Oreochromis niloticus: one gene and its partner. The protein of the gene in region 1 purifies or fractionates together with the protein of each later gene. This does not show direct contact. Links are inferred from orthologs where the notes say so. Each region holds a gene or a part of one and is shown on either strand. Other genes may lie near its edges.

Region 1 (15,256 bases):
GGCATGTCCAGGAAGGCCATTGAGAGGCCCAGAGCAAAAATCACCCTGAGCAGGACAAATACATCAGTGAAAGAAACACTTACATCCACTCTAACAGACAAATAACTCCTTCTGCTCTATTGCAAATGGAGCAATGACCTAGCTCGAGGCAATCATGCACTTTAGATCAAGCACTTTTCATTTCCTCTGCTTGGAAATGCTACACAGAAGTATGTTGGACTTCTGAAAAACAAGCTCTTAAAAGTATGCCAGAAGGTTTACTCGCAGTTTTAAGTTCTCATTGAGTATAAAAGAGCCAAGAGCTCCTTACAAGTAGCTGTATTGTATAACTTCACTCTACCTTTTAAATAAGATGATTTTGTTTCAGTCTGCAATAAAATTCAATGAAATCAATCCGCAGAGGCAGCAATCGCAACCTAAAGTGCTCAAAATTAAATATTCTTATTCTTATTCTTATTAGTGGTAGTAATAGCAGTAGTAGTAATAATATTATTAGTATTATTACATTGTTTTGTATCATTTGAGAAATGATTAAAATTCAACTCAGTATTATGACATAAAATTCATAAATATACTTAAATGTTAAAATGTCACTCTTAATCTCTCTTTCCACATGTATGCTAGCCAAAACATACTTTTCCAAAAGGACCGGAGGTCTCGCCAAGAGCCTAATCCTGTACCAGTACCAAACTGTAGCCACTGATATCCAGGGACTGAACACAGTCTTCATGCTGATCCACACTTTGGTGAAGCCTCCATTCTGGTGGATACCCTGAGAAAGAGGAGGGTCATCAGATGTTAGAGTGCAAAATTTTTAGCCTTTGGAGATTAATTCAAACACAACATGCCGTATAACAGAAGTTAACGTGTAAATACTCACCACTACATGGATGTCCTTTATTTCCCCGATGCCAACATTCATTGTGTCATTCACTGGCAAACGCAGGTTCATTAAAAAATATTTGTGGGCTACGCTTCCCAGCTCCATGAATGGTATGGGGTCACAGTGATAAAAGCGCCCTTCGTTTTCATACGTCTGAAACAACACTGAGTTTTTCCTCACTAAGCAAAGAAAAATGTAACAATTTTTCATTTCTGTGTATAACATGGAGTCATGCAGGTTTACCTTGGATACTGCAAATGTGCACCTGAGTGGCCTTTGCTCCACCGAGTGAAATTTTGTGGTCCACTCAGACGTCATGTCGTCCCTGTATGCCAGACGGGCATCGATAGTGATGACCACATCATCTTCTACACAGGCAGGAAAATTGCTCATTTTATTAGAAACCCACTGCAACTAGGAAACTACACTATTTACATTTCTGACAAAGACAAGACACGTCTTACCAATCTGATTTATCATTTTGAATGCAATGTCAAACTGCAGAACAGCCAGCATGTATTGAAACCACGGACTCATTTCAGTGTTGGGTAGGGGTACATGCACAGCAAAAACAATGTCGTTAGCATCGAGCGTTTTTGCCAAAGGGTCGTCAAAACTGTGGACCTGCTGGCATCGATTTGAGCCCCATGGCATGAGCCAAGCACGTGTCCTGTGGAAATTGATGCATTTGGTGGCCAAGTAGCGGATTGCAGTGGTAGGACTGGGAGCTATCGTAAAAGAAATCAGAGATATATTATGAAAAAAGACAGACTAAAGCTTAATCATTAAGAGCATTGGGAAAATTTGTTTTTCAGAGCGCTTCCAACACAAAAATATCGTGAATTAGACTTAATTTTCCTAAAATTGAATTCATTGAGGGCTATCCTGCATTTACAATCAAGCTGAGTAGCTCAAAAGCACACAAACAATAAAAAATATACAGTATGTGCAAAGAAACTCCATGCGAAAACTATAAATATAATTAAATAAGGAAACTCTAAATACAAGATGCAAAACTGTTCACCCAGGTGTAGAAACAAGCTAAACTGCTTGCAATCAAGAATTTAAATTTAATAAATGTTTAATTTTTAGAATACATTGTAAATTTATTATAAACAATTCATGCAGATCTTCCAGTCTCAGTAAAAATTTGAATATAGAGCCCACGACCTATGCTGTAACATCTAGCATGTAGTTCTTCTGATTTCGGGGTGTAATTACCAGTACTTAAAATTACTTATTGGTTCCTAAAGATAATTAAAATATAAGTAAATGAAAGTGAAAAAAGTGAGACAAATTATACTGTAATCATTTTTAGACAGAAACATGCCTGTACACCACAACACCAAACCCAGCTTGAATTTTTTTTTCTATAAAAGAATGGTACTTTAGTTCAATTTCTAAAAATTAAAAGACACTTTGAACAAACAATAAAAATAAGAAACTTGGTACAAATTTGAAAACAGTGAGGAAATCATTGAGAACATTAAAGGAATGTTGCCAGCTTTCATTGGCTGGCTGAGTAGAATCTGCAGTGCTGTAACATATAAGCCCATCTAAATGCACATAACAAAGATTAAATAAGATAAATTACCCCAAATAATTATTAGAAAACATTATTTGCAAATAAATTTAAAAATGTTTAAAAAAAAATCATCTACTTACATATCAATGCTCCAACCAAGATGGAAAATATTTGGAATAATAAAATGAAGAAAACAAATAAAACCAACTTTTTAGTGCTCATCTTCTCTATGATCGCTCCTGCCATTTGTGAGATATTTTGGGGTAAAAAAAATATATATAAAAAGAAAGTGTTGTCCAGACAAGCCAAGTGCTCCACTGAAGCTCATCTACCTGCTCACACACATCTGATTCTCATATGGGATGCGCCAGACATGAGGCTCAAACAGAGCATGTGCAAAAGGGACAGGTGGAGGAATCATTAGGCATTAAAAAGATCAGAGAACACTGGTCTATAAAACATGATTCCTTTATTGCTTAAAGAATACAACTTTGTAGTATAGGCAAGTGAATGTGTATCACAACTAGGTTACTTATCTTTACACTGAGGATTGACCACAGTCACAATGCAAATGTTTGATACTGCACCCAAGGAAAGGGGAAATAACAAATCTGGCCTCGATATCAAAGCGTCTTACAAAGTTATAGGTTAATAATATTTAACATTATTCACACTGATCTGGAGTCAGCAATGAGAATCACAGTAGCACCTACACCTTAAAAAGAAAACAAAACACGAACTCTGGGCTGTTAGTCTATCTTTGGTTCTATCAGACAAAAATATTCAGTTTTTCAAAGGTGCAGCTAAGAACCAATACTGTGTGTAGTTCAAGGTAGAAAGGAAACAACATAACGTTTCTGAATAAGCTAAAACAAAAATGTATTTTTCATTATTTAATAGTACAATTTCAATATTCACGGCCCCTCAATCCTTCCACTGTCGAACAAATAACTCCACAGAGGGGTAAAGAAAACCCTTTTTGACAAAATGGCAAAGACCAAGAGAAGAGGAATTAGATGCTCTGGAGTCGTCAGGAGCGATTCGCCTACACCACTGATTGTTATCTAGCACTATGGTTGACATAAACAAGCTAGTTGGTGCAGTACCTGAAAGAGCAAACACCTGCTGCACCATCACCAAACTTCAGTGAAATGTGCCTTCAGTGCATCCACAGTACATCCAGAAATCTACAAATTACTCACAACATAACATCAAGACTTAATTAAACGGAAGTAACTTAAAAAAGGGGGGGGGGGGGGGCAGGGGGATAATCAAAATTTTATTAACAGCTTTTCAAACCAAACAAATTTCAGGTTCTGGTATCATCATGTTGACATTCCCCTCCAACTCCATCTCCACTGTCAATACCAAATGTGCATTTTCCTTGTGTCACTGATGTGCACCAGCGGTCAAACACATCTCAAGTCTCTGTCAACAACAGCACTGGGAGGTTTGCCCGCCAACACTGTCCCAGGAAGGGATTCGGACAAGCTGAACAGTATCCTGGGATCATATGTCATCCTCTTCGTCTTCATCCTGAGAGGAACCGGCCTGTTGGGCAGCAGTGGCAGATGCTGCCGCCATCTGTGCCTGCTGGGCGGCCTGCTGCATCTGCAACCATTCCTGCTGAGCGAGTTCTGCCTGCTGCTGTCGCGCCTTCACAAACACAAGAGAGACACGAGACAGGCGAAGGTGAATGAGGATTATATCAGGCAATTAGAGAAGCTCATGGTGGTTGATATCTGATGTTTAATTAGAACTTGAATATTTTAAGACATTTTCGTGGTATGTCATTATAAGCACTGAACATTGGAAAAAAAAATTAAAATAAAGTGTCTGCAACATATTACTATCGCTGAATTATACTTGCTTATACTTGTTTCTAGAAAGGGATTGAGTTAATAATTAGCAAAGTACTGCTGAAAGTTAACTAAATGGATCTGTCATGCATTAGTGAACAGTATAGTGCAAATAATGTGCCTCAAGTGGTTATGTGTAACAGCCACTCAGCACACAGATGATTTAAATCGGACATGGCTTTGTTGTATTTCTCTCTAAAGGCTTACTCATTTCCTAAGGAACTTAGCACAAAACAAAAGACCAATCGCAAAAGACCTACTTCATCAAAACTCAGATCCCTACATAATGTGAAGTTCTGGTCCAATAATTTTGTTTATTATAACATTTCTGAGCAATCATATTTGTGCTGGTTTGTTTAATTATTTTTAGAACACAGTTTGGCAGCAATAAATTCACATTTTCAATTCCACTGTTTTCGTGGGCTCTGAAAGCAGCACAAAATGATTTCCTCTAGTCATAACTTCAAAAACAGCTATGCTCAGTTCAGTGGCTGTTGGAAGCACCTGGACATTTTCTAACAGTTGCTTTTTATCATTTTATTATGTCTTTGCTGTTTTTTAAACTTAATTATTAAAAGGCCCCTCAGGGTTAGACTAAATGACCTGGTATGGAAGTTAGTTCCCTGAGCTACTGTTTCTTGTGACGCCTCTCTCAAAATCATACCTTTGCAAACAATTCCTGTTGTTGCCTAAGGAGCTCTTCTTCAGGGATGCCCAGGTTCTCCAGTCTCGAACTGGCCTTCCTCCTCTTCAGGGCAACAGTTTTACACTCCTGCAGCACGTCTTTCACCTCCGTGATGTACGATGCGAAACCGAGGCTCTCGAGCGCTGCGGTGCGAAAGCAAGAGGCGAAAGTGTTTTAATTACTCTCTGTGGTTTAAGGCTCATTACATGGTGCTGCACACATACACACACCTTTCAGGGTACAGGGAAAACAAAGCTGGACTCACCGTTGATGACATGCTCTGGGGAAATGGTTTTCTTGTCCGACTTGTTGCATATTTCATTGGCTTCTGAGGATATGAGGTGGATGAACTCTGTGCAGCAGTTAACTACAAGCTCCCTGGCATCGTTGGCCACCCGTACGTTGGGGAGAGTTTCTTTAATCATTTTGTTGATAGCTGCTCTCGGGATGGTGAGGTCATCGTCATTTCCAGAGGAAGAAGCCATCGTGGCAGACGACGGGACAGAAACCAGAAAAAAAAAGAAACAGCAACTCCGATTCTCGACGGAAGGAAACTGTTAGGAGGCCTTCTCGTGTCGGCAGAATTAAAATATAACGGTCAGGTCAAGACAACGTCAACACAGAGTTAAATGTCATGTAGGAGAGTGACGCTTCCTCCAAGTTAGCCGGCTAGCTTAGCTATTAGCTAATAGTTGAAACAATTTCCGCAGAGTAGAGCCTTTGTAAGGAATGTGGTAGAAAAGAAACCGTTAGAAAACGCTAAAGCACATACACCAAAAAAGAAGACAAAAGGTTAATACTGTGTGAAAAGTGCTTAGCTAGCTAGCAGCCAGGCTAGCTAGTAGCTGTGGTCCCTGTCGCCAGAAAGCCGCAACGCAAAAAACAAGTGAAAGCGGAGAGCATGGCTACCGCTAAGCTAACAATGAAGTGCCTCCCGCATGGCTAAACAGTTAGCTGCATAGACACAGAAACAGGACACACGTGCCACAACACTGCCTGTTGTTCTATCCTGCATCGAGAGATGATTCGGACATTTCAGATAAGCAGAAACATGGTATCGATTCTTTTATACGTTTGAAATGTGGGCAACATTAGCTTGATTCAGTCCGGATGCAACGTCAAACAAAGAGCCGGATACCATTCTTCTTCTTTGGTGTTTAAAGCCTGTCTGAATCCCCTCGAGTCGCATTGCTGTGGCCTTGTGGTAGTTGTCGTCCATTACTGCCCTTAAAACATATGCTTGGGGAATTAATACACATGCTGGAAAAACAAAACAAAACAAATAAACTGAATATGTACTTTCTTACATTATCTATATATTTTGATGGTAGCTACAGTAATATTTCGTATACAGTCAGAGGACCACATCCCATATGCACCTCGCCTCCAAAATATAAAAGATGAGGCCAATCCATAGATGATTGTGTGAGTTTTATATCCAGGTATGTTTTTACTACATTATCTTTAAAATATGAAGCTGTTGCCAATCAGGTGCTTTCCAGATGGTATTGTGTGGAAGATCAAAATCCGACTCTAATTCTATCAATTTTGAAGAAATCCTGTACACCACTGGCTGAAAGGCAAACTCAAATCATGACAGAGTCTTCACTATAGTTTACAGATTACTCTAGACACTCATGGTTGTACCTATCTCCTGAATTTCACTTTTTTTGTTTGTTTTTCATATTCACCACTCCATAAGACCTGTTTCCACTGATCTTCAGTCCAGTTCAGCCATTTCTCCCTGTTTCCATAGTTCCAGTGAAACCTTTTCTAATGAAGCTTCTGTTCATGGATCAACTGATAGTCTTTGCTGGATTTTTTTGGACGGTATTACTTAAGGACATGACTTCCAGAGACTTTTCATCTGCTGTACACAGTTTTTCAGACCTTCCACTTCTTCTTTTGTCCTCCACTTGTCCAGTTTTATCACCAAAAAAAACTGCACACAGTGCCGCAATATGCCAGGTTTTCGCCCAATAGTTCACTGGGAATCACATTGTTGGTGCAACAACACTATTTTATGTCTGTCAAATTGTGTTATCTTTGGTATTTTCTGTAGATTCAGCTAAAGAAATGGAAACAAATTATGTGCTTTGGCGACAGGCTGCTAGTAACAAAGTGCCTAAAGACACAGTTTAGAATGGGTTCTTTGCTAAGCTGTCTGTTATGTGTTTACACAACACTGGTTCGTGTAGTGAACCAGTATCTTTGTACAGTACTGTATGTTACCCTCCTATGGTAAACATAATTATCAAGAGCATCTCTTTTAACCCTGTGATCTCCTCCCCGGAAGGGTACGTCTGATAACATGTCTACTAATGCTTTTTTATGTATATTTTCTCAGCACAAGCACAGATCTTGCTGAAACAAATTCGAGCCACAGTAATTTATGGCCCTGTTTCTGCAATTTTATTTTTAGACTTATCAATATTCAGCAGCATCCAGACTGGTTTCACAGGTGTTTGAATTTCCTAATAATTGTTTACTGCCATCTAGTGTCCACCAAGAGAATACCAGCTTTTATTTTGTTATTTTCTTTTTATATTCTAACATGCTTAATTTTCTGACCAAATCCTGTCAATATCATACAAAAAATAAATACATAAAAGTTTTCTCACATTAAAGTCCACGTGGTGCGAGACTCAGAATTCAACGGCTATATTCCAGATTAAGCCATGAGTAATTATGTTATGTAATCCAGCAGCTTAAGATAAGATAAGATAACCTTTATTAGTCACACACGTGGGAAATTTGTTAAGATTATGTAAGATATACATAATCTTCTGACACTGTAACAGAACCCATTAACAAAACAATGCTTTTAAAAAGACAAAAAAAGTTCATAAATTAGTCGTTATAACTCCGAACTACCTGATTTACTTTGATTTAATCTTGCTGTTCGTATAACTTTGCTTGCTTCCCATATGACACAAGGCTCAAGGGCTTGTCAACTTAAGACAGTTATGCTACTTGAATGCACCAGGGTGTGGTTTAAACCTGCAGGAGCTTACTGCCACGTATGAAAAGAGACTGCATTGTCATGGCATTTCATAGCTTTATTTATTTCAGGGAGGTAACACTGCTAGACAATAACAGCCAAATATGCCCATGTCACAAAAATAACAAAGATATGACATGATTCAGTTGCTCTTCTCTAACTTAAAACTCTTTCGGCTTCTCCAGTGCAAAAGCTTGATGAAGTTCAGGCTGGCAGTGAAGACCTTGTCGTGTTCAAACACCATTTTGTAAAACGTTTCAATCGGGAGGTCACCATTTGGGTCAGCGTACTTGAGTGTGGTCATAGGGGTATAGAGAGTGTTTGTCTGGTGCCGGAAAGGGGGATTGTCCATGATGATGATCTTGAGGGTGTGCTACGAAGAAAGATCATTCATAATATAGTTTATTGCTCTTGTAGTGCATTAAAGGTTAAAGGTGAAGTATTTGCTGAACGATACCTCTGCCACGTCCTCAGGAGTCTGTCCGAGGGTTTCAAAGATCTGTTTGTAGTTCTTTAAGTAGACATTTGTGAACATGTCAGCAGTCACTTTGTCTGCTTTGCTGAGATCAATCTTTAGGCCCTCGTCATAAACCTTACGCTCAAACTCGGTTATCACTGGACCTGGCTCTATCAGGCTGATGCTGAGGAAGAAATAGAAGAGAAGAACATTAAAAAACATGGAAAAATCTCTTGAAATAGGAAACTTGAGTTCAGTGCACAACTGTGAAAGGTAATTAAATATTACTTTCATTATACAGGAAACTTTAGAAACCACACTAAAATTCAGTTACCATTTGATACTGTGTTAGAACATGCCTAAACATCACAGTGTGCTGTGGTTTGCATATTTTCCTCCTAATGGTGCAGAAAGGGGTAGGTGTTGTTGTGCAATATGACTACACAAATATACCAGATGCAAGGGCTGGTTTTCAGGTAGTTTAGTTTTTGTTGCACTTTTTTTCTCACAAAAATGCCAGTAAAAGATGAACAGGAATAAAACATTATAGACTTAGTATCTTACTTCAGACCAAACCTCAGGGCTTGTATCGCTAGGCTTTCACAAAAGCCTTCCAATGCAAACTTAGATGCTGCGTAGATATCGTTGAATAAAATCCCTGAAACAGGGAAAGAAGTTGTGAAGCAACTGTCTTAAAAAATGTTCTCGTGATCAGCAGGTGAAGCAGCTCTTACCCTGAATCCCCATGACGCTGCTAATGACCACAATATGACCTTTTTTCCTTCTCTTCATGTCGGGCAGGATTTCCTTTAGTAATCGCACAAGTCCAAAGAAGTTGGTGTCCATGACACTTTTCATCTCTTCAATAGACTGACACTCAATGGGTCCAATCAGACCCATCCCAGCATTACTTACTGTGAAATAAGGTCACATACACACATATCATTTAAATTTCCATAGACAGTCGAAAAGCCAAATTAATACTGTTTTGAAGCAAATGGTAGGAGCTTACTGAGAATGTCTACCCTGCGCTCAGGCAGACTGTCCACGCAGGCTTTGATGGAAGCCTCGTCACATACGTCCAGCTGCTTGATCTCCAAGGTCCGGCCCAGGGTCCGACCTGCTGCCTCAACCAGAGGCTCAGCCTTACTCAGATTTCTCATGGTGGCATAGACTACAACAACAAAAACTCGTCTGAAGCTGTTGTGTTTTTATTGAATTCAGAACTGAAATTAAAATTTTACATTACATTTGAGAAACTATCACAATTTATCTCCACCAGGAGCGGCAAATGTGGATTTTTCTCAGATTTCATCTTTCAGGTGTTGCCTGTTACATCAGTACGACATGGTTAATAGTTACTCAGGGTAATCCACAGACCAGGAGGACCATTTCTTCCATAAAACACGTTTAAGATAAAAACTGTTGATGGTGAGCTGTGTGGATTGTTTCTGGAACCAGAGTTTTAAAAAAAGAACTTACCAATATTTTGTTTGTAGAAGAAACCCATTACATATTGATAATGTAAATAATGTGAATTTGATCAAGTAAATATCTTTCTAGTGAATGGTTTCAAAATGGTATTACATTTACACAGTTAACTTTAATGAATAGTCTGCAAAGTGTTCATAGTAGAAATTATTGAGCCAGACACAGCAGCCATGTAAAGTTCAAGTAAAGTTCAAGTACATGTGAGATGGTAATATTTTAAAACATCCTACACACTTCCAAAAAATTCAAAAAGAAAAACACCATTATGTTTTACACCCTTATGTGCTAGTTTTTTTTTCCACATATTTCCTCTAATTTCTGTCATTTGAAGCATTTTCAATCACAATTTGAATACATTATATTTTTCTTTGATTCCCTTTGATCCCTCCTGACACAGGGTTTTGAAATGTAGTCAACAACCCCAGCTATCTTAGAAAAAGTCTGTTAAAAAGTTACCCATGAACCTCTTCTTCTCATCTTTTGCAATATGGACAGCCAATGCGAGGCCAATCCCAGAGGAGCAGCCGGTGATGAGTACCACCTTCTGGTTCATCGTGCCTGGTTAGTGCTTTTCTTGCAGCTCCAGCAGTAGAGAATAAAACGAGAACAAAAGAGGAGAGGCAGCAGGCCACATACGGGCACTTTTAAAGCCCCTTCCTTAATCAGAGGTTTACAACTCAGCAAAAAGCTGTGTGCATATGGTCTGAAGATTAGTATCATTCGTGGCATTCACATGGTGCTGTTGCATGGTGAGGATTTAGGCTAATGATAAGTCCAGATGTAATATGAAGAAAATATCAGACCTATAAGCATCATCTTATTTAAATAAAATAAAATACAATCAGACAATGGTGAAATATTTTATTTAAATTTGGAATTTCCCACAAATTTTTTTGCAATGAAGACAGCAAAAAGTATATTTTTTGTAAAAATGTGGAGAAGTTCATTTGTGATTTTTAAAAGAATCTATTTAAAACACATTTTCAAAATAATTTTGAGTACATTTTAAGGCCACACTTAACCTAGACAATGTAGTGGGCTGTTTTGTTTTTTTGGTTTTTCAAAGTAGATGTAAAAAAAAAAAAACATTCATTGCTGTAGCAAATAAAACTTTCTCAACATAGTTTTTTTTTTTTTTTTTTTTTTTTACTGTGGGCTGTGAATTATTAAATTCAGTTTTTTTAATATGTACCCTACTGCTCAAAGTTTTGAGATAAAAAAGAATTTTTGAAAATCAAAGTCAAGTTGATGAGAAATGCTATTAATATTTAACATGAACAATGTTTTTTTAATATCTATGCTGACACACACAGGCCCGTTTTAACCAACTGCCACTCATCTGTTGTAATAGCACACTGAGTCACCTAAAGCAAGTCTATCCCATTAAATTTCATTAATCATTCAGTTACAATCATCTCGTCTGAAGTTTGTGAAGCTGAGTTAAGCATTATTGTCAGTAAGTTTGGTTATAGTCTCAAGAAAACAAAACAAAAAAATAACGTGTACTACTTTCACAAAACAGGAATAAGTGGCTCTGACTGGAAACTAGAGAGCACAACTGAGTAGGACAGCTAAATCAGAACCTTTTGGTTCCAAAACAGACGCCTCACGGGTCATTAAATGGTATCTCTAAGAGCCAAATTTTGTTGGTTTGTCATGAGAATACCTAAAGCTGCTGTATGAAAATTTCAGTTATCTGGTCATTTTCTCCTATAGCCTCAAACAGCCTTCATTTATTAGAAAAGGAAAAACTTACACATGTTGCTGGAACACAGCACTGACAGCTGCTGAAAAGGGCCTGAATGCACTTACATAGATATTGCCTTAAAAATCAGTAATTAATCATTACTTCTCTTCTATAACACTTATGAAAATTTTAATGTTATTTTCTGTAAAAGCCAATGCACTTTTTCTTTCAAAGAGATGTGACTCCAAACCTTTAAGCAGTAGCTTAAATATGATTATTTTTTGTTTTACTCTGAAAAAATGGGTTGGAAATCGGATGGGTAACGTTTTAACCTGCACCACAGCTTTAAGCACATATTTGCATCTGCACTTTACCTGCAGAGAAGTTCCATCTTACGTGTCAATTTATGCTTTAAGGTCAACAAAACGTCAAACATCAAAACTATCCTGATTTTTCAGAGATGCTTAAAATGTGTGTTTTTTCCTATTAAATTCTACTGGGCATAAAGATTTTGGGACCACATCTTTGGGTCCCAAGCTTGGAACCATCCAGTGAAGGACGGGATCTCTTCCCCCTGCTTCAGGATGGTGATGGGGGTACCACGGCGGCCAGAGGGGTCTGAATCCACATATTGTTTGGCTGAAAGGAAAACAGGATATATTTGTGAACTGAGGTCTCTTCTGTACAGTAGCCTTAAAGGGCCATTCACTATAGTTTAATTCAAATTGGAGCTAAAATTATAAGAAGGGTGGTAAATTTAGAAATAAATGTAAAATAATATTATTTAATATTCTTTACAATTATTCAGTCATAAATTTGCAAGATTACAATTTTAAATGTCCAACAAAAATATTTTATTCTCTGAGAGTAAATCAAGAAATTTACAAACAACATAATATGAGAAAAAAAGTCTTAAATTTCTGAGATTATAGTCAAATTTTTGAGAAAATAAATTTGTAAATTTGTAACTCAATCTCAAAAATTAATCTCAAGAAATTGTTTTTTAGGTAAATTTGGTCATTTCCTTACTCATAAAATTACAATAGTTATCTCAAATAAAATATATTTGCTCTCAGAATGAATATCTATAATTCATGCCTTATTTTCTGGGAAAATGATTCCCTCTATATAATTTTTTATTCTCCCTGAATTGACCCTGTTGCTGTATTTCTGTAATTCCTTCTCATGTCTAATAGTTTTCTCTTACCCATCTTTGGTGATTCAAGTTTCTCCGTTTCATTTGCTTCGTTTCCAATCCAAACAAAGATCTGATGGGAACAGTAACCAAAGAGCTCAAGGATCAAAAGGAGGAAAACATAAACTAGCCACAACTCGAGTGTTTCATCAAAAGTGCTTTTATACCTGATCCCATGTGTCCAGAATCATGACATCATCAGTTGCCAGATCGATCTGTGAGAAGTCCCCGGGAACTTCTTCAACCTGAAAATTGATCAGCACACAGTTACAAAGTGGCCATTTAAAAATTGTTTAACTAGTTGGTAAGAAAACAATATATCTGTTTATATAAATATAACTACTTACATTAAAAAAAATCTGATTGATGAACACTTGAATACTCACTGTTAGCCTGCCAGTTTTGTTTGAACATCCAAACAGTCGTGGTTGTCGGACCACTCCCTGAAGGGCCTTGGACGTCTGGTATTCTTTCTTACCACCCAGAGCAGCCCAGAAAACAGCTGGAAACAAGGAGAAAAGGACAGTTTTCTACTGGGGACATCTCACAAGTACTACTTTGTGGAAATCAAAGCTCTTCCGGCTCTTACCAGGCTCCTGTGTCTCCTCCACCCCAGTAGCAGTTCCTCCAAGGAGGCTGGCAACATAGTTAGCTGCAGCCATCTCATCTGAACTTGCACCCTTTCCCTTCCACAGGAAAAGGCAATCAGGAGTCTTCAGCACAAACACATCATTGGTGTTCAGAGAGGATGCAGTGGGCTCCACCTGTGTAGGTGCGACACCAAGATAGGGAGGAGTGGTGGCATCTGTTCATTATAAAGAACCAGTTTATTAACGTTCAGTGTAATAAATGAGGCTGACCTCAACAGCTCGTGTGGTATTGTTGCCGCTCTTGCGGATATGAAAGAGCCGTGTGCTGCTTGGCTTAGTCTCGCCACACTTGCGGGATGTCCCACCCTGATGGATGACCATGGGCTTGTCCTTAAACAAGCTCACAAGATGGGGGGGTTCTTTACCTTGAGTGACCCGAACCTGTGGAGATACAGCCACACAGTCATTAAATTTGATGAGGAGACTGATCCCAGACTTATCTCTAAGTACAGCTGGGAGCTGGTTAATAGGAGCTCAGGGTAAAGACTGAAAACAGGCGACAGCAGTTCCTCTGTATGAAGGTTAAAAACATCCACCTACCTCTTGTTCTCCAATTTCTATACTAAGCTAACAGCTGCAAGATGCCAAGGAGGTCATGTTTTGGGTAGCGTCTGCATGCATGTCATTTTGTCAGTTTGTAAACACAATAGCTTAAACATTTTTGAATGAATTCTGAAAAAACTTTGTAGGTGTGTTGAATGGGGTCATGTTAACACTCCATTAAAATCTGGTTTAAATCCACCAAAGTCTTCAAGGTCAACTTAATGATTTGTTGGTTGAAAATGGAAAAAAAAAAAGCCTGTTAATGTGAATGATTTTGCAAGTGTGTTGTGTATTTTATTGCTTCTTGTTCATAATATAAAAGATGGACCTGAGAGTTGCATCATTCCTTTCACTAACTGTTGCCAGGTACTTTTATTTCTTAACATTTTAACTCTTACCTGTGTTGCTACTCCACCCATGGAATCATCCAGCTTGACGGTGAGGAAGGCCGAAGCAGTCAGTTCATCCTGAGTGCATTTCTGCCCTTGCCTACAGCAAGCAAAATTAAGCACAATTAAATATGATATTCACAATTAAGGTATAAAAGTAATGTTTCAAAAACTCTTGATTCTCTCAGCACCCTCACACAGCTTACAAAAACACTAAATACATAAACTGACTACCCACAATTATATTTTATTATTTTACCACAAGTTTAAGAAATCATTAATGTTGTTTTCTTATCAGAATGTCATGAAATTTCAGCAGTACTCTAACTGTTAACTGTTTTCATTCTGTGGCATCATCATATGACCCAGACTGAAAAGCCTTTCTAACTAATAGATGAATGAAAATAGATAAATGTCCACACGCGAGTGCTCTCTCATGCCATCAGACAGACAGAATGGATGTGATGAAATTTGTTACATTTGCATTCCACTCTCAGATTATATTAATATTGGCAATCATTTAATTCTAAAAACATTAAAACTGCTTTAGGCTGATTCAGAAGGGGTCGCCACAGCAACCTCAAAGGGGATTTTTGTCTCCTCCCAGGATTTTAGAGTCATTAATGGGTCAATGTGTATAAACCCTGCCTAACATGCCTGCAACTCAAACAATCCCACCAGCTTTGATCAACTTGCATTTATTGGTTCATCTACGAATTCTGCATCATATTAAAGAGTGCTTGAAGATTAAGCAAAATTTCTCTATATCGAACCCAAACCCTTCATGAATAAAAATCTTGTTACAAAGACCAGTATGCTCTACAACTCAGTGGCTTTACTTCTGTGTGTGTTGTGTGACAAGTTTATATCATGCTTACAATTTTCATTCAC
Region 2 (16,071 bases), on another chromosome or scaffold:
GGGCCTCTGAGACACATGGTCAAATACAAAAACTACAATGCTTTTGTCTGGAAACGGAAACAGTCTTGCAGTTCTTAAATGAGGCCTTCCCCTCATGACCCATCTTTCAGGGTAGTCTAAGCTACTGATTTATGGTGTAGGCCAGCAAGCATCAAACATTACAAAAGTGTTCATCCAAGACCCGTTTGCACCTTTTACATTAAGATATGTTTCTGAAACCTATCTACTCCAGAATCAGTAGTCGTGTCCTTTGCTTTGCTTGTCTTTTGCATTGCCTAAAACAACAGTTCATTGTCCCAGGACACCCTCATCCTTGTTGAGGTGAAGACAAATCTCTTCCTCTCGTTTACTTCTCGATTAGGCCCGCCTCTTTTATCTTAGTGTAGAAGAACTTCTCCAGTAGGTTGGCACACTTGTAGTACTCGCTCTCTGGAGGGTTGTATTCACGACAGTTTGTGAAAATTCGCTGCATGTCGGCCATAAAAAGCTTCCGTGTCGTGTAGTACCGGCTCTTTAGACGCTCACTCATTGTCTTGAGGTCTGTAAAAATGTGAAATTTCAATTATGATACCTCTCAGTGGCTGAATGAGCATGGCATTTAACAAATAAACCCCACTTAGTTCATGCTTTAATGCCAGCTGAATAACAACAGTAAAAGATGTGGACTTTAATTAGAAATGATCTGCTGTCGTACTGCAAAACAATGTACAACTATGCAATGACTAGTGCAGACAATTAGTAATACACAACTTGTTAACACACGTACCCATGGGGAAGCGTATGACTTGGTAGTACCCAGGTGCTTCTGTTTTTTTCACAGGCTCCATGAAAGGCCAGGCATTCTGGTGACTCTAAAACACATAAAGCAGTGCTTTAAGAAAACTTTGTCTGTGTACGTGTGTGTCAGATGTAGACCACATTACACGTGTCTATCCCTCACCTTCACATGTTGGAGGATGGTTTTCAGAGTGCTGTACAGTTGATCGGGGTCTTTCAGTTCTTTCCTGAAGAGTGAAAAATGGTAGAAAGAACGATATAAAACTGAGGCTAGCTAAGTGCTATTTCCAGATGTGCATGCGTGTTATTATTGCCTGCAAATTTTTATCATAAATGAAGACCAGAGACAATGTCTGACTGTATCATTGATAAAAATGATCCAATATAAGATGTGAATACATTAGCCAAATCATTAGCGGAGCAACTTACCCTTTGCCCACAGGCTTCCAGCCAGTTTCACCTGTTGATATAAATAAACTAATATTAAACTCATACACCACAATGGAGTCATTCTCTAGTCACTAGAGGAAAAATAGGTCAGCAACTTCTGTGTAACCACAAAAAATGCTGCTGGGTGAATGATTGCGCAGAATGTTTTTGTAAGTAGTTGGACGACTAAATAGTTGCGCAGAGGTTGCGCGTGTGGCACTCTAAACCTGGCAAACATCTGCAATGAATTCCCATCTAATTTTATAAAACAGACTCTAAACAACTTGCAGTCAGTCTCTGCAATAGCAGACATGATGCTGACTCAGTCTTATTGCGGATTTCTCACTGTCCTGACACACCAATGTTTCTATAGAGATGGCAGCTGACTGGAAGTGGTTTAATATCTGGTTCCTTTCTTCAAAGCAACCACTTCAAAGGCAGCCACATAGCGAGCTGAGTGCAATAATTTTGGTTGCCCTACAGTCTCCAACCACTGTTTTTCTTGTGTGACAATAGCTTAAAAGATGGACGTGGATATAAAGTAGTGACATTGCAATTACTGCTTGTCTTGTTGCCACAAAACAAATTCAAAAAATTCATCATAATTCTTGCATTCACGTGCAACCTGCTCTAGTCCTTGGCTGGTAGCCGTACATACAGAAAATAACCACCCATCCAGATTTCGTAGAGAACAGATTTTAAATCCCAAAAGTATTTGATTAATTAGCTTTCAGTTCTGCTTAACCTGTCGCTTCGAGGAAATTAACAAAGTTGGTGGTGATTATAGAGGTAGATGTACGACAAAGCCCATAAAAACCCAGTAGATAATATAACCAAAAAGTTGGACAGCTTAATTGCACAGGATGTATGTGGTAAGTGGCCTACTTTCATCAGCATTTAATGCTGTAATGGCAATCATTACTTTTTAATGGCAATAATCTTGTAATGTAACAAGCTACTTTTAAAGGCCAAGGTTACCCAACACTGAAAAAGAATAACATACGTATGCCAGGAATGCTCTCAATGGGAATCTGCCGGACTCCATCCTTAAAACAGGACAGCCCTGGATAGACTTTTCTGATCTGAGCCTGTTTCCTCTCAATCAGCTTCTTGATTATCTGAAGGCAACAAATGAGAAAAAAAATCTTAGTTGAGGGGACAGAAAGAAGCATTCAGACCAATAAAATGTTAAAGAGTTGATTTAAAAGTCACCCACACACCTCTTTCTGCTTCTTGATGATGACAGAGAACTCGGTGTAGGGGATGCTGGGGTTGAGCTCACAGCCCATGAGTGTGGCTCCTTCATAATCCTTGATGTAGCCCACATACTTGGACTTGGGAACCTTTATGTCTTTTGAGAAACCCTGATAAGGAGGAAGTAATAATTTATCCTGGAGCTGCCACGCGCTAGCAGTTCTGCCTCTATTTATTATATTATTGTAAATATCTATCACAGTCCAAGAAGAACCATGTTACCTGTTTCTTAAAGTACCCAATGGCGTATTCATCAGCATAAGTGAGAAAATTGAGGATTTCATGCTTTATGTGATATTCTTTCAGGTGGTTCATCAAATGTGTTCCATAACCCTGCAACCACACAGTCAGGCCAGGAAAGGGTTAGAGCCAGCCATCCAGATATCACTGAATACCCACCAAGCTGAGAAATAAAGCTGGGCGCGCTCTCACCTTGACCTGTTCGTTGGAGGTGACGGCACAGAAGACAATCTCTGTGAAGCCTTGCGATGGAAACATCCGGAAGCAGATCCCTCCGATCACTCTCCCGTCCTTGATCAGGGACAGCGTTTTGTGTTTCCTGCCAGAAGAAAAGATGAATTTTACAGAGGGAATCTGCTTCTATAGCACTTCTGAACTTAAGGTGTGACGATGAGGCAGAGTTACACTCACGGATCGAACACCAGCCGCGTGATGTACTCCTTGGGCATGCGGGGAAGCTGATGGGAGAACACGTTCTGAAGGCCGACGAGCCACATCAAAATCCTCTTGTTGGGCTTCTGGTTTAGGGAGTTCCCAATGACGTGGAATTCAATCACGCCCCTGCGCTCCTCCAGGCGGGCGGCTTCGTCACGTGCAGAGTGAGCTGATAGCAGGCTGGTCTGCACAGACAGGAAGGTATCAAATAAATCACGGTCCAAAATTTGCTGTGATGTGCAGAGGACTTGAACATTTTGTGCAGGGACAATTAACCTACGACTAAAAAAATAAATGAAGTGCTATACAGACACATTATGGCAGCTTGGAAGGAGATCAAGACCAATTACCATGAGATCTGACACTGACAGGAAAATGATTAGGCTGGAAGGATGAGAAGATTTACAATTATCTAATGACTTTAATTCTTTTTACTCTTGTTATAAAGTGTCAGCCTGGAAAATCTGATAGAGGCTTCGGGTCTGGATGGTATCTGTGAAGATTACATAACTGCCCTTTGCAAATCTGCAGTGCCTTCTTATTTCTCTTAAAAATCCAAGACTTGAGTCAAAATGAAAAGCATTGCAGGTGATGCCAGTTTCAAAATATACTAGGAGTAACCCCCAAAACAACTGAAGAAGAGAGCACGGGCCATTTTAGTTTGTCTTCACTTGATTTACAGATGTGAGGCATCTTGACTGACAGAAAGGTTTCAAGAAAACGGCTGTGTATCAGAAGCTGGAGCGATATGCACTGGTTTACCCTGAAGGTGTCTTATCACTTTTACTTTTTGTCACATACAGCAACAGCAGGAGAAGCTGTAAAAAGGGCCGTTATATTATCCCACTCATACATGACACCGCGCCGTAGTGATTGCTTCAGAAATCATATGAAGCTCGCGATTAAGTTTTCAACATGGCAAAGATAACATAACAGAGAGCGTTATACATGAAGAGGAAGTGGAAATCATCAGGCCTCACGAGCACTCTGATACAGTTTCTGACAAACAGCTTATAGGTGGGCTATAATTATAGAAATTATAGAATTTTAGCCCAAATTACTACTTTTCATATGAAGATTAAATTCACTTCCAACTAATTGGACTCCATGCTGTGACTAAACAATAATGGGTTACCTCTGGAATGGCAGCAGGATCAGTGATAGTCGCCATGACTTCATTGATAAGGTCCATGGGGATGTCACCAACCACCCTGGGTCTCTTGTTTTCCTCATGGGGAAGGGGCTCAGAGGGTTTACGCTTTTCTCCAGCTGGGGGAGTGTACACAGAGGAAAGCTCTCATTACTCAAGGTGCTTTATGTTGTAAGGTAAAAACAATATTAGAGAAAAAACCCCAACAATCAGACGACCCCCTCTGAGCAAGCACTTGGCAACAGTGGGATAGAAAAACTCCCTTTTAACAGGAAGAAAGCTCCAACAGAACCAGGCTGTGGGAGAGGCAGCCATCTGTTGTGACTGGTGTTAGAGGGAAAAAGAAGAAAGCAGGAGACAGAAATCCTGGAAACTGGTTCTACAGAATGAGATGTGTGAAAGCTGAAGCCTCTGCCTCCCATTCTACTTTTACATATCCTAGGAACCACAAGTTAACCTGCAGTCTGAGAGCAAAGTGCTCTGTTGGGGTGATATGGTACTGTTGGTATGGTTGGTAAACAAGTGACGGACATTTGAAGTCTCCTATCCTCAGTCTTCATTTTGAACCTATATGTACTTGTTTGTTAGAAGCAGCTCTGGGGTTTACTTCACCTTCATGTGATGACAGATCTTAGAGGCAGCACTTAAAACAGCGTTACATTAAAAGCATAAGAATCTCCAAAACTAGAAACTATCTTAAAGGACGGCTGACTTGAGTAATCTCGCTGTAAAGTAGGAACCGTTGCACTTTCTGGCTGCTGTTACAACCAAATTTCCCCTTGTGGGACAATTAAAGGATTGTTCTATTCTATTCTGTTCTATTCTATTCTACTTTTAAATGTGGAAAACAAGGCTGACTTCACTCAGGTCCACACTTTTTGTTGTTGCACTGTTACGCAATAAGTTGGCTTAACTGAAACCTCATGAGTAATAACAGGTTTGTCAGCAATACCTGGGTTTGGTTCCAGTACAGAAGCTGCCTTCCTGGCAGGACTGACACTGCCGCAGGTGGACGGGTCTACTGACACGGGACTGGTGCTGTAGTACAGCGGCCTGGCCACTGAAGCAGCACTTATAACTACAAAAAGACACAGAGGGAATTGAATTTATTCAGTCATAGGCTTTAACCTTTTCTTAAAAAAAAACAAAACAAGTGTCATCTTGAGAGGCGTTTCGGTGAAGGTGCGTGGGAGGGCGTGTCACCTGTGTGGATAGGAATCTGCCCTCCTGCTGCCCCTGCCAAGAAGTCTTGGCTCCAGATTGGAGAGTTATGACTGTAAACTTCCTCCTCCAGCATTGACAAGAACCTGAGCAGAGAAATCACAACAACTACTTAACTATATTAAAACAAGCAGTCAACTTTACATAAGTGGCTACAGTCTGGTTTCATACTGAGGATGTGAAGCACATCCCAGAGTGTAGCTACTTGAAGGCCTGTGTGGCTAACTGCATGTGAGCCTTCTGTATCTCTTACTTGGGAAAGTGTGTAAGAATGAGTGTGCGTTTCTCAGGAGGGAGCTTGTCCTTCTCCTGTCTGGCCTGCTCCAGCAGCTGTTTCCTCATCACAGTGAAGACAGAACGCAAAAGCGTCCGCCCGAAGATCTGAGTGGTCTCGTAGCGGGGCAGGCTGTCACAGAACTGAGGCACATTGCAGTAGCAGAGCCATCTGGAACAAGCATATCCCATAATTATCTTACAGCTTGTAACTGTACTGGTGCAGGAAAGGCAGGCACAAGATTATCTGTCTACTCTGCTACCTAGTGTAGTTGACTTTGTATCCAGCTGCGTCATCGTTGGGCACCCTTTGGCGTCTTTGAGAGGGCGTTTCCAACTGCCAGTAGTTGATCTGGTTGAGAAACATCTTAGCCAGCTCCATAATGGTTTGGCGTTCTTTAGATGGCAGGTGGCTGAATTTGTACTGGACAAAATTGTTCACCCCCTATTTTGAAAACGTGGAGTAAAAGAAAGAACAAATACATCAAAATTAAGATAAAGATCAGAGGATGAAAGAGTCTGTGCAGTGGAGACTTGTTTCTCTACCTGCTCGATGCTGGGCTTTTCAAACGGCGGACTCTCCTGTGCTTCTAACATTGGTTTACCCATCTGCAGGATGGATTTCCTCAGCAGCTGACAACGGAAAAAGATGGCGTTTGTTTAAAGTGAGCGAGATCTGAAAACTGTACCTTGCTTCAAACGGAGTGTAAAGCAGTAAAATTACTTTGAAGAGGGAAAAGTAGACTTGTTTAGTGTCAGCATCCTCCTCTTTGTGAATGCACGTGTACAGATACTCCACATCCAGAACAATACCAAGAAGCCTGTTCATTTCCTCCTCTGAAACATTTTCTAGATGGGTCACATGATCACCTGGAAAGAAGAAATAAGCCAATGAAATTCATCTAGCTTACCCTTCTTGGTATTATTTTCTGATGCAGCTTCTCTGGTGGGCATGCCCACTTACCCAAAGTGTGAGAGCAGCTCCGACAGGGCTCCTGGAGGTTGACTGCGTTGGACTGCTGCTCTGTTTGAGGAGGTGTAGGAGGGGGATTCTGACTTTTCCAGCCATTACACTTACAGGCTCCTTCAGCCTGCAATAAATAGAGGTTAAATTAGTACAAGCAGGCACAAACACGACAGTATTTACATTAAAAGCAGCAAGTGAGCAATAAATGGGGGCAGATTATACTGAACAATTAAGGAGAACCATTCAACTTGTTAAGCTTTGCTTTTTTATTCCATAAATATCTTAAAAGCAAACTGCAGCTTTTCCAGGCTCTCTCAGGTCAAACAAGAGAAGTTATGCCCGACTGTCTACAGTAACAGGGGGCGGGAACACGATCAGCTGAAGGTGCTGTTCTGAGCATGCGCCCTGAAACAACAACAAACTCCGCCCCCGCCAGCAGCTGTCACCCTGTCAAAACAAAGACCCCGTCCCTCTCTGCGGATCATACGCTGCATAAGCCCAATAAACTCCTCTCTGTTTACCCCCCCTGCTATGACGGACTGCACGGGGACGCTGTGAAATTTCCAGTGGAAACACGAGACCGTGCACGACCACACACACGCGTATCCAGACCTTGTGCACACAGCCAGCTACTCCCAAAACCAGCGTCAAGCCAATGTTTACGTTCACCAACCCCCCACCTTGACAGAAACAGTAACACTGTAACAGGCTGCAGCTGCAAGGCCCCTGCTGAAAAGTCCAGATGTAAAAAAAACCTCCAAAACACTTAACGTGTCAAGATTTTTTTTTTTTTTAGTATTACCTCTTCAGTAAGTGGTTCATGCATGCAAAAGAAAAAAAAGAAACTCAAGTGCGGCAATGGCTTCCTTTGCTGCGCTTGCATTTTGAAAACTATTGCAACCAAGCCCAGGAAATGCACCACACTTTAAGTATGAGCCCCGAAAACTACCCCGCTTCAAAGCCCTGCTTTTGCAGATGTGGCATACTTTGCAGGATGAATATACTCCGAGTTTTTCCAGTTTCTTGGGCCGAGGCGAGGAGCGTAGTTGTGCCTTCTTCACGGCGATACGTGCGGATCCTCTAGCGGCGCCGGAGCCCTCCGTGCCTCCGGCTCCAGGAGCGGCCGGAACCAGGCCCGCGGCTCCGATGGCCGGCGAACCTTGCTGAATCCCAGCGCTGTCGGCCATGATTCCCACCGAAACCCGAAGGGACCGCCAGCCCGGGGAATATTCGCTGCGCCGTCCGCTCTATTCCACAAACGGAGGATCAGACATGGCGCTCATCCTTATTTTCAATTTCTCGCTGTAGGCCCATTTTCCTCCGCTAGGGGACCTTCATGGGATAGGCCAACTCCACAACAATTCAAAGAGGAGAGGTCACAAAATGCAACCATTTATAGCAAAATTTCAAGGTCAAACATGGTGGGAGGGAAAAAAAGTGGATGCATACCTTCAGTCAGGCACAGGCGACTTTCAAGACTATACTGAAAAATTACTGAAATGAATAGCAACACTATTTAGAAATATATTTATAGACCCTTAAAAATATTTTCACATTATATCAGTAAACATATGGAAATGTCTTAAGGATGCTCACCCAAACAACAACAACAAAAAAAAGGTTAAAGTTCAGGATTGATGATGATTAGAAGCTTTCATCAGTTTCATGATGAGTATGAGGCAAGTAAAGGTGTAGGTCATAACCTCCAGAGGACAAAACAAACAGATATATAGAGTGGTAGACGTAAAAAGTTTAAAAAAAAAAAAAAAAAGCTATTGAGGTCCAGAGGAAATAAAGGCACGCACACATACACACCGCCTGATTACAATAATAAATGATCAAATTTATTTCAGTATTTATTTGGTCATTACATAACAGTACTGTAAAATGCTTGCATTTAAATGTTTCCGGCTGCAAATAAGTGTTCACTGCAAAAACAAAACAAAACAAAAAAAATTACAATTTGCATCCCTATTATGTGTTAAATCATCTATTCATAAACCGCCATCGTGCCAGCTGATAGTTGTTTTACTGTTCCTACAATTATCGTCACAATGTTACCGAGATGTAGGAGGACAGACGGAGGAAAGCTCAAAAACTGTGCAGCGTGGTGTCCGACTCCTCTGGAGTTTTACAACCTGTGCCTCTGAAAGCTCACGTCTACTTACAGGGAGGAGTAGGAGGAGGAATAGTTCTGGACAAGGCATAGACAAGAAAAAAAAAAAATGGAGAAGTGTAAAGTAAAGAGATAATATTAAAAACAAACAAACAAAAAAAAAAAAACGTTTGGATATATTTTTTATGACATAAATGTACAAGACAGATGGCTAAATAAATGCAATTTCATTTTTTTGTTGTTGTTAATAAACACTAGATACATTTATAAAGACCACCACTGATTATAATTTAACCATTTATATGTGTAAAAAAAAAAAAAAAAAAAAAAAAGACAAAGAAAAAAAAGGAACAGCAACAAAACTCCAAACCCAGATTGTAGCTGTTTTTTTTCTCCTTCCTGCTAACTGTACACTTTTTTATGATTATCTAGACAACTCCCTAGCAAGCATTAGTCCTGTCATTGGTAAATTGAAAAAAGGTAGACTACACTGCAACACCTTATTTACAGTATATTATTTATATATTTATATTTATATATTTATATATATATATTTATATATCACACTGGCTGAAATCATGACAAGATATATTCATGAGCATCATTAGTGCAAGGCATGAGTAAGACAGACCTGTAAAAAGAGTTATTTACTAAAAGTACTCTATGTGCGTGTGTGTGTGTGTGTGTGTGTGCGTGCGTGTGTGTAACAATAAGGGGGGTTGTGTGTCGGTGGGACAGAGTGTGTGCTTGACAAAGGTGTGGATGATGTGTAACAGACAGTGTGTGTGTTCATGTACAGTGATGTTTAGGTCTCACAGGGAATAGGGGAAGGTTGGGAGGGGGACGACAAGTCAGTGGCGTGTGTGTGTTTAATTGTGCAAATGTGTGTTCAAAAAAAACCCCCAAAACAACAAAACACACGGATAAATGCGTGTGAATAAGTCGAAGGATGTGATCTGTCACCAGACAGCAAACCCGGGCCGGGCTTTGTACAGAATGACACACCGCCGTGTCTAAAGCACTTTCTAATCGAGAGAAGATGTCAAACATTTATGATTCCGATATTAATTAAGAAGCAACTTTACATATTGCAACTCCCCACTCACTGCTATCACCTTCGATTTACCCCCCAGTGCAAACCCAGCAGTCGAGCAACATTGACACAATGGAAAAAGTATTCGCACAAGAATAAATCGTTGAAAAGCAGAAACCCAAGAGACCGCAGTATGACAACAAAAGGGTGGTCTACACAAGGTTTATGGACGGACACATCATGAGGTGGGCAGGTGGTGACACTGACGTGTACCGTAGAGGCCTCTGCGCTGTGTTTGTAGACACAAGGGGATTTGCTGCGCAGCACTGGCCCTTGCAGACAACTCAACTCACAGAGTAAATACTGTGAAACATTGCACAATGCCACGAAGGACAGCTATGAGCAGGCACGGGCCCAGAATGGAGACAAGGTGGTGTGAGAAGCTATGCACTAGTGCTACGTTGGGTTTAATGGAGGGAGTGGGGTTATAAGGACCAACTCTTCTTTTTTTTCCCCCAGCTACGAGATAAAGGGCCCTAGAAACAACAAGAGAGACAGAACCTACAGTTTCTCTCTGCGCCCTCCACCTTTCCTCTTTCTGAGACTAACAAGAACACACTCCTCCAACCAACTTTTTCTGCTCTACTGCAGATTAAATGTGTAACTCTTTTTAACTTTTAGGCCGTCTAAATATGCTAGCATTTGCATCCACAAGTTTGACAAAATTACAGTAAACAATAATCAACAAAGTTATAAAAAATTGAACAAAAACAGAAGACTGGTATTAGAAATGCAATATTAAAGACTTAAGCTATCCCAGAAAAGAGAAGTGATCACTTCCTCCAGATGAAACTCGTGTCTACACGCTGTAAAGATGATGACAATGCGAGGAAGGGTGCTCTAATGTTTCTAATATCTGCTATCACTGATCTATCAATAATACGATAGATGTAACAAGCTCGATGGCAGAAAGTAAGACAAAGTGGTTAGGAGGCTTCCCCGGGTAGCAGCAGAACCATAGTGGAGGAAAAGAGGCAGAGCTGCAAAGAAAGATCAGTGTGATGGCAATGAATTTGTTAAAAGTGGATGGGTGGGGTGGCGAGCGGAGGGCATATTTTCTTGTTTCAGAGAGTAGATGACACATTGCATTAGTAACTGCAGTGGCATTTGGGGCATTGACCACATTAGTTACTGCCATACAGGTTGGTAGGGAGGAGGGTGTTCTTCATGTTAGTTACTGCAGCATGGAGCCTTGGCTGGCTGGGCAGCTTCTGTCAGGTCCACTCCCCGGCTGCGCCCAGTGTTTGCTCCTGCAGGCTGAGGCTCATTTTTTGGCAATCTCTTTGCTGGAAGAAATCAAAAACAAAAAAACAAACATATAATAAAACAATTTTCAGGAAAGAGAAGCTACAAATGATTAAAAAAAAAAAAAATACATTAACAAAAAAAAACAAAAAAACATCAATCATACTAGTTTGACCTTGTCCTCCAGTTAATTTTTAACTCGTATTTAAAGCAGGAACTGAAACCCTTTAGGAATTTGTGATTGTCCAAGCCTAACAGCGGCGTCGTAAACCTTGTGTGTTTTTCAGTAGAAGAAAACTGGAGCTACAGTAGAAAGCTCAGGCAAGCAGAAAACATGCAAATTCCACACAGAAGGAGCCCTAAACTGGGCTTGAAGCCATGACCTTCTTGCTATGAGGCAACAGTTCTAACTCTGAATAACAGAAATGTGCAGAAAAACAAATATCTACAAATTGAATCCTAAAAGTTACCCACCAATGGCCATAAATATCTCATTCACATTCATAGACGTTTTGGCCGATGTCTCCATGAAAAGTAAGCTGTTGTCATCTGCGTAGGACTGGGCGTCCTGTTGACACAATGTAAACAATTTTCAAAACATTCTCCAACACACATTTCTTCAGGCATAGGAGAAACACAATTAGAGGATAATTAAAAATGGAAGTCGTGGCTCTAGAATGCAGCGTCCGCTTCGAATGTGATCATTCAGCCATCCACCTATTTTCCTCCCCTCATCCAACTCCACTTTGCGGTAGGGCTGGAGACGGGTCGCCAGCCTGTCGCAGGGCTAACAGAGAGGTACAGACAGCCATTCACACTCATATTCACACCCATGAGCGATTTAGAATCACCAATTAAATAACTGTACTAACTACATGTGCTTGGACTGTGGGAGGAGGCTGGAGTACCCGGAGATAAACCACGCAGACACAGGAAGAACATACAAACTCCACACAGAAAGGTCACAGAGATATTAGATTAAAAATAAATTAATTAATAAATAAAAATTGTAAAATAATCAAAGCCTAAGACACAGTCTAAGGTTTGTCTAGACTGACCTGGAAGTCCACAGCTCTTTTGTTGGCCAGATCAGCTTTGTTTCCTGACAGAGCGATGACTATATTAGGGCTAGCTTGTCGTTGTAGCTCCTTCACCCAGTTCTTGGCCCGTGCAAAGGACTCCTGAAAAACAAATGAAGACACGGTACCACTTGTCAACATCTAATGCTACTTTCATGTTTTAACTTGCTCTACAAGTGCTCTGGAAGGCCTGGGTCTTAGTCAAGGATGAACGTGCCTCGTTTGTGATGTCGTAGACCACAATGGCAGCTTGTGCTCCTCTGTAATACATTGGTGCCAAACTGTGGTAACGCTCCTGGCCTGCAGTGTCCCAGATTTCAAATTTCACTGTTGTGTCATCAAGACACACTGTTTGGGTTAGGAAAGCCGCTGTGGAGACAGGAAGAGATGAGTCATTTTATGCGTGATCATTAACGACACCAAAACTATATCTTTACGAGGTCATATAAACAACAGAGCTGTGAATGTGTCAACACAAAAGCATCAGTCTTCTAAATTCTGAATGGGGACTTCTCAGGAAAACAAACAAACAAAACAAAAAAAACAGAACTGTCAGGTTGTCAGAAACATCCTGATTTGATGACATGACCTTACCTCCTATTGTGCTTTCCTGGAATTCATGGAACTGGCCCTTGACGAAGCGAAGCACTAAGCTGGACTTCCCCACAGCCGATTCCCCCAACAGCACCAGCTTAAACTGACAGATCTTATTCCCTGCATTTGGTCCATTGGGTCTCGTAGCTCCTCCTCGATTGGCCATGACCTAGTCAGATCCCAGGTATCCTGTGTGCTGAACCTCACTGTCGGGACTTCTGCTGCAGGAAGCACGAAAACAAACATGTTCACAGAGTAAAAAAAGATATTAAACTCTAAGAGATTTGTAATTTCAAACAAATGTAACAAAACCTCTGCTAATATGCTTTTCCCTTCCAATGCAGTTTAACAAGTCATAACAAGAATGGAACAGTTACTTTTGTATAGATGACAGTCGGACATTTAAGACAAATGAGCATTACTCATATATTGAAATCATGCAACAAATGTATAATTATAAGATCAGCTTCCTCTGAAAATCATTATTAAAATTACAACTCTTATGAAAACTAGAATCAGACTAATGAATAGGCTACTAGAAAAAAGTAACTAAATTTGGTAATCTTTTGACATTTTGACTGGGATATAAAGGCCAATGAAAGTTCATCAGAGCAGACTACATAGAAAAAACTGATAGATCTCTCACTCATACTTTCATACATCAAAGTCAAGCATTCACCCACTGGTATCACTTCAATTTGTTATGAATTAAGAAGGATTTCCCACACAGAGTGTTTCAAAGAAACAGGTGGTTTTCACACTGCAGTTTAGGCAACATGAAGATATTTATGTGATCAATAAATTCAAATATATTCCAATATAATTCATACACAGTGCATAGAAAATGATAGCCTGTATCAATTAGCTATCTTTTTTATCTGCAAATTATGGCTGTAAATGTAATTTTATAAGGCTAATAAATGAATTATTCTGTGAACATTTCAAGTCAGTAAAAATAACTTGCAAGCATTTCAAACATACAAAGGCCTGTTCTGAATGCATGTGCGACTTTCGACAGGCCAAATTTAGGACACTTCTTCATGAATGTAACTTACAGTAACACCAGGAAAAGGAAGCCTTGTCATGAACTACAACAGTGATTCGTGGCAAACTCAAAAGAGAGCCGGGGAAAGACCCACCCAGATTACTCAAGTGTGGTACAACTGCGAGAACCATTGCATGCATGCATGCATACCATGTGTGCATGCAGTGCTTACTAACTTATTTGGGAATGAACAGCTCAGAATTTCTAAAAAAACACAGACGGCTGTTGTAAGGACATAATCACGGCTTATGTCTGACCTTACAGGGTGAATTTAGTGGAATCTTGTGCCTGACCAAAAACTGGCCTTTCGCCTCGCATCAAACTCACATATATGGTGCAGTGCAATAAAGCACAAAGCAACCTTTGTTAACCACACAAGTCACACTCTGTTGAGGAGAGGCATTAATCTGTGGTGGCTGTAGGCTCAATGGCAGTTTATGAAGATGTTGTACTGAATTATATTATACTGTAAGGTAGCTGTACATAATAGCATACGACACATTTCAGTGGCTGTGGCTTGAAAGGTTGTGGGATAGATTCCCCGGATACTCCAGTATTCATGCTGAAGTATCCTTGGGGAAAGCACTGAACCCTGAGTTGCCTGCAATGCCTCCATTGTGAATTAGAGTGTGTGCAAATGATAGAAAAGGTGCTTAGGTAAAGAAAAAAAGCACTTGTATGCATTTATGTGTGATTGGATGAACGAGTAGTAGTAGCTGAGACTGCTCCAAGTAGAAAAGTGCTACTTAATTATATAAGTTAAGAGTTAACACGTGCTTATAATGTTCTTATAAACTGCAAGATAACTGAGAGGATAAAGCTATAAATGTACTCTGAACAAAATTGCAAAAACAGGCAAGTCAGTCTATAAAGTAACCATATTTTTGCCTCCAAATCCCTGACATCATCATCCTAACTTCTTCTTTCAGTGTCCCCTTCTTGCCTAAAAACTACAGTCAGCTAGGACTTTGCGGTTATTGCCCCTAGGCTCATGGGGACTGGTTCAACAACTGATCATTTTAGATGAGCTCTAATGACATATCTGTTTTAGCTGCTTTTAGTCTAGCCTCAGGTCCCCCAGGGTTTGGTCAAACACACTGTAAATGTTTTCTACTACTGTTTTACTTGACTGTTTAGCATTGGTAGAACATAGTTGTTTTCTGATTTCTTTTCTTAAATATTATATTTTATTATGTTCCCTGTTTATGCAAGCTCCATGTTTGTAATTGTTCTTGAGACTTGGATTACAAAATGAGTGTGCCTGTACAGCACTTGTGGACAACTCCAGTCATTTCAAAATGAGCTCTATAAATAACATTTACTTTTTTTTTCACACACATTATGAACCTGTGCGTCACTAACCCACATCTGTGGCAAACCGTTCTTACTTGTGTCGCAACACTAAAGTCTGAAGGCATTCATATAAGGTAAAGATTTCCTTTACCTTAGCCACCAGATTTCTGGGTGTATTTCAAATAAAGAGCTTTGGGGAAACGAGTCAATAAATTGACCGGCGAGGTCATGCCAAAACATTTCAACCTTATCTCAATCGACTCATCCTTGAGACGAAGTCTTGAAGACGCGCAGCAAGAAAACAAACATGCTCCAGGAACTGGAATGAGAACAGTGACCGTATTTACCCACACTCATGACACGGACTGTCAGCAAACGCTGCGCATTGCATGACTGCGACGCGCATATTTGGCTTTAACCCTCGTTAGTTGACTATGAACACACTTGCTCGGTGTTAGCAGTGGCTATCGGTCTGTTTTGATGTTAGAGGGGGCCGCCATTTTCCCCAAAGTGTTTTTGTTCTCTAGCTTGTTAGCAAAGCTTAGCATTCCTAGCTGTCTGGTGTCATTAGTCTCCGAACTGCTGTAAGGACATAAAAACAACACGACAGCTATCTGCACAAAACTAACGCCATAGTTTTTTTTTTCTTTCGAATTGAAACCCTGATTGCCTGTGCCGTTTAGCTAATGTTGATTCAAGGGGAATAGCTGAGCCCCTCAATTAACAAACACTAACGTTAGCTTGCTGTCACTGTTAGCATTAGACCCACTGAACCCAGTCCACCTATTAGCAAAGTCACTGTAAGCCTGCCATGCTACCTGCTATACCAGACATTATTAGCCATTTGCTACTGGTATACA

Evidence for each region.
Region 2: the proteins of dr1 (region 1) and kat2b purify together in Homo sapiens (affinity purification with mass spectrometry; 3 studies listed by BioGRID and IntAct, with this or other methods). This does not show direct contact. The link is inferred for Oreochromis niloticus from reciprocal best matches to the Homo sapiens genes DR1 and KAT2B.

The regions. Positions count from the first base shown.
Region 1 is NC_031986.2:31,174,520-31,189,775, forward strand, and holds dr1 (protein Dr1), read right to left. Parts: upstream 6,128-15,256; 5' UTR 5,438-6,127; coding exon 5,218-5,437; intron 5,096-5,217; coding exon 4,932-5,095; intron 4,065-4,931; coding exon 3,918-4,064; 3' UTR 2,861-3,917; downstream 1-2,860. Other genes in the region: protein wntless homolog, read right to left, coding at 1-45, 636-772, 881-1,036, 1,127-1,251, 1,348-1,611, 2,549-2,654; zgc:109982 (retinol dehydrogenase 8), read right to left, coding at 8,096-8,326, 8,411-8,594, 8,975-9,068, 9,145-9,324, 9,423-9,584, 10,358-10,454; scinla (scinderin like a), read right to left, coding at 12,082-12,227, 12,796-12,856, 12,951-13,028, 13,170-13,285, 13,373-13,547, 13,644-13,814, 14,375-14,465. UniProt on the Homo sapiens protein: The association of the DR1/DRAP1 heterodimer with TBP results in a functional repression of both activated and basal transcription of class II genes.
Region 2 is NC_031985.2:21,842,262-21,858,332, reverse strand, and holds the start of kat2b (histone acetyltransferase KAT2B), read right to left. Parts: upstream 8,426-16,071; 5' UTR 7,934-8,425; coding exon 7,733-7,933; intron 6,871-7,732; coding exon 6,744-6,870; intron 6,650-6,743; coding exon 6,504-6,649; intron 6,413-6,503; coding exon 6,326-6,412; intron 6,225-6,325; coding exon 6,043-6,224; intron 5,952-6,042; coding exon 5,760-5,951; intron 5,593-5,759; coding exon 5,489-5,592; intron 5,364-5,488; coding exon 5,238-5,363; intron 4,405-5,237; coding exon 4,271-4,404; intron 3,321-4,270; coding exon 3,112-3,320; intron 3,020-3,111; coding exon 2,893-3,019; intron 2,794-2,892; coding exon 2,683-2,793; intron 2,571-2,682; coding exon 2,427-2,570; intron 2,325-2,426; coding exon 2,210-2,324; intron 1,238-2,209; coding exon 1,207-1,237; intron 1,005-1,206; coding exon 941-1,004; intron 852-940; coding exon 767-851; intron 541-766; coding exon 347-540; 3' UTR 1-346. Other genes in the region: ras-related protein Rab-5A, read right to left, coding at 11,126-11,241, 11,675-11,768, 12,259-12,381, 12,497-12,648, 12,874-13,039. UniProt on the Homo sapiens protein: Functions as a histone acetyltransferase (HAT) to promote transcriptional activation. Has significant histone acetyltransferase activity with core histones (H3 and H4), and also with nucleosome core particles.